Stegostoma tigrinum: one gene and its partner. The protein of the gene in region 2 interacts with the protein of the main gene of each other region in a biochemical or structural test. Links are inferred from orthologs where the notes say so. Each region holds a gene or a part of one and is shown on either strand. Other genes may lie near its edges.

Region 1 (3,752 bases), on a different chromosome or scaffold from region 2:
GTCAACAGAAACCTCATACAATTAAAATTCATTTAAAAAAAAACAAACAATTTTAGATTATATGAAATACACTGGGGAGGCAGTGACCTAGAGGTATTATCGCTAGACTGTTAATCCAGAGACCTAGATTACGTTCTGGGGATCCAGATTCAAATCCTGCCACGGCAGATTGTGGAATTTGAATTCAATAAATGTCTGGAATTACAGAATCCATTGTCAATTGTCATAAAAACCCATTTGGTTCACTAATGCCCTTACGGGAAACAAAGTGCCATTCTTACCTGGTCTGGACTACGTGACTCCAGAACCACAGCAATGTGGCCAACTCTGAACCGCCCGCTGGGCATTGAGGGATGGGCAATAAATACACCCGAGCCTTCAATGCCCTCATCCCATAATTTATGGTATACCTTTGGACTTAGTTCGTTTGTTAAGATAGAATATACCACAAATAACCGCAGTAAGTGTCATATAACTCAAAACATTGACTCCGTTTTCTCTCCACAAATGCTGTCAGACATGCTGTGTTTTGCCAGCAATGTATTTTTGTTTGTTTCAAACCTCAAAGCATTACAGCACTGGTTAAGAAGTAGTCATCTATACCACAATCATGAGTTTTATATTCTCAAACGATAATGTCCCAAGTCCACACGACATGTCTAGACTGCAAGACACAGCATTTACCCAACCATGTCAGCCCTGGCTCTATGAATGAGAATTGCACTGTGCCATCTCCTTGCAACCCTGCTCACTGCTTCAAGAAACAGGAAATGACATCACCAACACAGGAAATGACATCACCAACCCAAGGAAACCTAAACAGATAAATAGAAAGCAGGACGTAACACAGCGTTTCGGAGGCTCACTGATGATGGTACCTAGAATGGTGACGAAACGTCTGAAAACCACCCTTCCAGCTCAGCGAGCAAACCCACATCCAGAACCTCAACCTGAGCTACAAATCTTCTCAAAACTCACTGTTTCAAATAAATAACTCACATTTAAATGCCTCAATTGAACGTGCCTACAACACAGGCAGAGTATTCCATATCCAAAACATTTTCTACTTGGAAAGGTTTTTCTCGTTGCTTTTCAAAAGAAAATGTAAATCTATGCCTTCTCAGTCTTGATCCTATGCCGAACATGATGACAAATAAAACTAATCCCTTCTGCCTGCCCTTGTTGCATATCCCTCCATTCGTCACATGGTCATACACCTACCTAGAAGTCTCCTAAATGGCCTCAACATGTCTGCCTTCAACACCACTCCAGGCAGTGCATTCGAGACTGCTACCACTGTGTAAAAAAAAACTGCCCCTCACATGTCCTTTGAACATTCCCCCGTACCCTTAAATACAGGCCTCTAGCATTAGACATTGTAACTCTGGAAAACACGATTCTGAACATCAACCTTATCCACGAAATCAATTTTACAGACTTCTATCAAGTATCCCCTCAGCCTCTGCTGCTCCAGAGAAAACCACCCGAATTTTTCTACTTTTTCCTTACAGCTCATATCCTCCAATCCAGGTAACATCCCTGTAAACCTCTGCTGCACCCTCTGCAAAGCCATCACATCCTTGCCATAATGTGGCGATCAGAACTGAACACAATGCTCTTAAGCATGTCAATGATTTGGAGGGGTCCAACAGATGTTCTCTCAATCTTCTTTCCTTTACGATAAACAGCCTTAATTTCTTCAATACATTTACACGCAGAAAGTCCTGTTGTTTGAGACCATTCTCATTACTCTTTTCTGCACCCTTGGCAGTACCTTTGCATGCCTTCTAAAGTGCAGAACTAGACAATTCTCCAGCCAGGAAGACAAACATGTGCCCCATGCTGGTTCAACATCTACTTCTTGCTCCTCAACTATATGCCCCTGCAAAAAAAACCTAGGATACCATTATGACTTATTAGCCAAGCTCTCAACTTGTCTGCAACATTTAAGGTCCTCTGCAAGTATACACGCAGGTCTCTCTGCTCCTGAAACACCGTAAGGTGACTGCCCTTCATTTTACAGTGCACTCCATGGCCTTCCAACAAAAACTCTTCGCATTTCTCCTCACTGAACCACTTGTCTACATCCTTTAGAAGTTCTACATCACGTTCCCCAAATTACACTGCTTTAAAATTTCTTTTCGCCTGCAGATTCTGTCATTTGCACCAATGTCTACATCATTAATTAGTAATCTAGAAAAGCAAGAATAGTCCGGAGATTGAGGATCGGGAACTAGCAGTAGGGATTGGGGGGGGGGACGACGACGAACAGCACGAATCGGGGTGATTTCGGGATCGGTTTCGAACCCCCACCCCTCCCCCACGCTCCGCCCTTTGTTCTCCACGGGGCCGAGGCGACGAAGTACAGGCCCGGAGGCCATCGCAGACCTGAACCTAAAGCTCCAAATCCCGCCCACACAGCACTGGCAGAGCCCTACTCTTTACCTGCAGCCAGTAACCTGCTTGCATGGACGAAGGACGGGTCCAGACTGTCCTTCTCCGCCATAAGTTCGGGCAGATATTTCTCATTCGCCATGGCCGTTCACTCCGCTTCCTCGCACACCGACAATGCGCCTGCGCAGCAACTGCCGACTGCCTGATGGTGAGTCCCACCCCTGAGCTCCCATTGGCCACATAGCTGTCCATCGGAGGCATTCTCCATACCTACGCGCTTAGGTAACTGTCAATCATATATTATCCCACCCATATCGATGACACCGTCTCCCGCTCTTATTTCCCGCTAGCTCGATGGCTGGCTGACCTGCCAATCATAGAGCTTCCCCGCCAACTGGTATCAACAGGAATGCCAAACAACCTACTGGAGGCCACCCTGTTCCGCCCCCCTCTCCGACCGTTGTAGGGGGGAGAGTAGGTTCAGAAAACGGGGGGAATAGAAGGAGAGGGTTGGGCGAGGATACAGTGGAGGATACAGACGGACCAGCTGGAGGATAGAGATCTCAGTGGGGGAACCAAGACGCGGGATCATGGAGTAGATAGACCACGTAGGGGCACACGTGAAAGGGCGGCTGGTGTGAAGGACAGAGATCATCCGGGAGGTGGGTGGTGGAGGACAGGTACCATGGGAGTCATGATTGTGGAGGAGGATGACCATGTTGGCGGCGGCGGCCGGGGGAGGGTCTGCTGCGATGGTGAGGGTCGTGGAAGGAAGGGGACCCTGGACAGGTGTCAAGGAGGAGGAGAGGCGTGTGGAAAAGAGGGACCGTACACAGGGGGTGGGAAATGGAGAGGGGAGAGAGCACAGAAAGTTTGGGAGAGGAGAGAGACCATTGGGAGAATGTGGAGAAGACGGGTCGGGGGGGGGGGGGGGGGGCGGCGTGCGCAAGGAGTAGTGAGACTGCCTGGGGTGGGTGTGGAGGAGAGGGTGTGCACCCGAGAGGTGAGCGTGGAGAAGAGGGGAACAGAGGACAGCGAGTGCAGGGATGGGAGGATGTGCAGAAGAGAGAGAGAGAGAGAGATCATGGTGGAAAAATAGATTAGGGTGGAGAGAAATACGGGGGTGAGGAGAGAAGAAGGATGGGCTTTGGGGGATGGGAAGATTGAGAGAGAATGGGGGGGGGGGGGGGGAGAGAAACCAGGATGAGAAAAAGGACAAAACTGAGGAAGTTTGAAGGACAGCGAGATGGAAAGATAGAAAGAGAGGGAGAGGCAGAGAGATGGAGAGAAATTTTAGGAAAATGAGTGAACTGGTGGAAGAGAGTGAGGGAGCGAGAGCCAGGGATAAGATAATTCCA
Region 2 (3,752 bases):
ATATTATAAGCATTTTGTATTAAAGATAAAATCTACCCAAAGATGAACACAACACGGAGGCATAATTTAATACAATACATAAATATGTATTCTTAAAATCCTATTTAATGAGCAATACCTTGCTAAGTTTTTAACAGTTAACCAACTCTAACAACTTAATCTTTATTAACAAACTTCCAAATATATCAAGATTTGTGTGGCAATTAGCTACGTCTATTAGTTTCTAATTTTAAAAGGAGTTCGGAAAATAGCCACTTTTAATAAAAAAAATTGATTGTTTCTCATACAATTGCAGAAGTTTGAGATCATTTATGCCAACAATTGCATTTTAAATATTGGCATCATAGTAAATACTGATTAACAAGCCAAAACCTTTTGTAGGGAATATACTAAATTTGACCAGTGCCTGATGCTATTTTAAGAAGAATAATCTGTTTAGCAAATCACCAGTGCAACTTATTAAACCCTCATACATATACAAGTATCCTTATTTGTTATAATGGTAAGCATTTCTGAAGTGTGTAATGTGTTTCAAACATGTTTCCAATAAAAACATTTACAATGACTTGTAACAGTCTTAGAAGCCAAAACACAGGCCTGCACATTGTGAAAAGAGACTTTATACAACAGCAGTGGGGGTAGTTCCAAAGGTAAAAAGGTCAGGAAATAATATGATTACTTAAATCTTGGTCTCACAAACCTTAGTGATGATACTCTACAACTTGCACAACTGTCTGTGAACATACAAATGACCTATGTTTCTTCAATGTGATGCTGCATAATTTAAAACATCATATGCTGCAGTTCAAGCTTCAAGGACAGAATGCGCCAAAGTATCCACCACCCAGTGATTGTACATGTGCACAGGTGTAGCATCCGACAACAATTAATTGCCAAAAGATGAAAGTAGAGCTTAAAATATTCATTTGTTCACATATTTTAATGGCCCAATGGGGTAAATAGTCTACCAAAGTAAACACTTCATTTTATTTTTATTTGTTCACTGCAAACATCAAACACCACTACTGCAGAATTAATAGTATAATATACTAGTTTAAAAATCTCACCCATAAACTCAACTGTCGATAATTATTATTGCCTTCCAATATAGTCTAGTGTCAGTTGGGATACTCATTAAATTATCGCAAAACGAAAAATACGTAAATTGCACAGGCAACTGCATTTTAGTTGCATCTCTCCCGTTAAATGTTGGCATACCTGACGGTAAGCTGCAAATATTATTAAGATTTTGACAATAACATTGATCACTTGGCTCACCAGGATCCACGGGACAGTAACAGGGAGGTGTTATAAATCCCTGGGCTTCCGCCAACTATAGTGGCCTTAACGCAATTCACCGCTACAAGTTTCTATTTACAAAATAATGCCCAAAATACGGACGTCTGCTACTTGCGACACATGCACGGTTTACACACAGTATCAGATGCATATTTTCCAACAAATGCTGCAATCTTACATGTTATACATTTTTACGTGAAGTTAACAAATTACGATTTCACCTGTCACAAGTCAGTTGAAAGACTAAAAAATATTTAATCAGCAGACGTTTGATAAATATTATTCTACTTTATTACGTATTCCATTAGTTTAAACGAAATGCTTTCTACCAGCGAAATTCACCACTAGTCTAATTTCTCAAATGTTATAACACTTTAAACAAATGTGCGAGACAAACTTTATTTCATCACACCGAAACCAAGGTCTAATTTTATTGGTATTTGCTCACGCGAAAATTATGGTGCAAATCTATCAACGATCGAACATAAAAAGTGCGAAATGAGTTTCGTAACCAATGCTGAAGATTTACACCAATCAATATCCTCTCAAATATAATTCCTTCTTACTTGTCTCTAAATATACAATATCTCAGAACATCTAATGATCTTCAACACCTTACTGAGCCATTCTGGCTCAAACCTTCCCAAATAAACGATCGTAAACACTGCTAGTTTTACTTTTGCGGGATCGGGAGCTGGAGTGAAGGAAGGAACAAAACCTATCAATAACCTTCCCCACCAAAAGAAACACGGTTTTAAGTTTCTGCCAAAATCCTCAATTTCAAAACATACGCACTCCATTCCTATTTACCATCCACAAAGAGGAGTGTTGGGCAGCTATGCAACTACTTATACTCCGCGGTTGTCCGAGGCGATGTCCCTTCCTTACCTGTACTGTCACTGGCAGAGAGCGCCGGCGAGTTGAGTTTGGGCCGTTTGGCTGACGGCGGTCCATCCAGTAGGTTCTCGGCCATTTTATTATATATATATTTTATACGTGTGTATGCGTATAAATCGTTCCCCCCTCCCTTTTCAAGCTAGTTTCATCTAATGAACATGAAAGGTGAGGGGGGTGAGGGGGCGGGATAAAGACGGACACAGCAGCGACTCTGGCAGGCCCTGGGGCCTTTGACTAGCACCGAGAGCCCGCTCCTCCTCAGCCACAGCGCCATTCCCCTAACGCGACACCCTGTTCCGCCATTCCACTCCCCCCCTCACACAGGGAACAAAAAAGCTGTCCAACCCCTATCTTCACTTTAATATGCAGTTGGAAAAAACATAAAATCGAGCCGATCAGTCAGGCCGCATTTTCGGTATAGCGCCAGGGCCAGGACCGGGACCAGGCCGGGGACTGACGCCAGACCGCTGCCGGCTGAGCCGATGAAAACAATACTTCACCCAAAGACTTGGTACGGCGGAGCGAAGGGGATACGGATTTTTAAACACCACCTCCCCCCTCCCCTTCAGCCGGTCCCCTTTCTCTTATCGCTTTTCCACCGTTTGAAGGCGCCCGGACTCGCAATAATTTGACGGCTATGTGGATTTCGCAACCGAATATGGGTTTTGAGGAATACTCAAGACAGCGAGCACAGCTCCCGACGCCGTTCAATTCCTCCGAAATTTCGGATGAAATTTTCCACCAAAATGGCGGCTGTTGATCTTAAAGTTTTTTTTCCTCCTGACGTTCCGTCCACCGATGGAGGGGGAAGGGGAGGGGAGGAAGGATGAGGGAGGCGGAGCCAAGTATACGAAAACTGCCGAAAGCACCTTAGTAGCTGGTCGGAAATACCCGAACCCTGCTTCGGGTGGAGGATGATGACTCCGCGTGATCCGTCCGCCGCCTGCGGATTGGCCGTCTCCGTAAGAAATGAGGGAGCAAGCGGCCGAACGTACATTACGTCATCAGAGCTCCTGATGCATTGTGGGGTTACTATCAAATGGACATGCGCACGGAGCTTACAGCTGTGAATGAGTTGTAATATTTACGTGTTAATAACTATATTATTAAACGTGTAATACAATTTCACGACATTTACGGAACCAAATTACATTAACACGTTTAACGCCATTCGAAATACTAATATCGCTTCCTGTTGGCAATTGTAAAATGTGATAGCCTTAGGACTTCTCAAAATATCTATTTACAAAAATAGTTTCCTAAATTAAGTGGGCAGGAAGTACAAATAATCAAAGTCGCGCCTCAATTTTCAAATGATACCCTTTCGGTAGCACAAGCTGAGATTGTATAAAGGGCTTAGACATCTTATGACTGCTGTGGATTGAAACGTACATTCATCTCCAAACGAAGCAACGAGTCGGTCTCCCTCGAGTGTTGGATGGTCTGGAGTCGAAGATGAAACATTGTATTTTTTTTCTTAGACATTGACTATTATTTGACGGAATAGTTATTTTAAAACTTTGATTTTTATGGAATCTTCAACATTGAAGAATGTT

Evidence for each region. The genes of interacting proteins can lie anywhere in the genome.
Region 1: the proteins of crebbpb (region 2) and KH domain-containing, RNA-binding, signal transduction-associated protein 1-like form a complex in vitro, tested with the Homo sapiens proteins (2 studies listed by BioGRID, with this or other methods). The link is inferred for Stegostoma tigrinum from reciprocal best matches to the Homo sapiens genes CREBBP and KHDRBS1.

Annotation. Positions count from the first base shown.
Region 1 is NC_081377.1:841,978-845,729, reverse strand, and holds the start of KH domain-containing, RNA-binding, signal transduction-associated protein 1-like, read right to left. Parts: upstream 2,581-3,752; 5' UTR 2,537-2,580; coding exon 2,446-2,536; intron 1-2,445. UniProt on the Homo sapiens protein: Recruited and tyrosine phosphorylated by several receptor systems, for example the T-cell, leptin and insulin receptors. Once phosphorylated, functions as an adapter protein in signal transduction cascades by binding to SH2 and SH3 domain-containing proteins.
Region 2 is NC_081376.1:32,962,622-32,966,373, forward strand, and holds the start of crebbpb (CREB binding protein b), read right to left. Parts: upstream 3,020-3,752; 5' UTR 2,273-3,019; coding exon 2,188-2,272; intron 1-2,187. UniProt on the Homo sapiens protein: Acetylates histones, giving a specific tag for transcriptional activation. Mediates acetylation of histone H3 at 'Lys-18' and 'Lys-27' (H3K18ac and H3K27ac, respectively).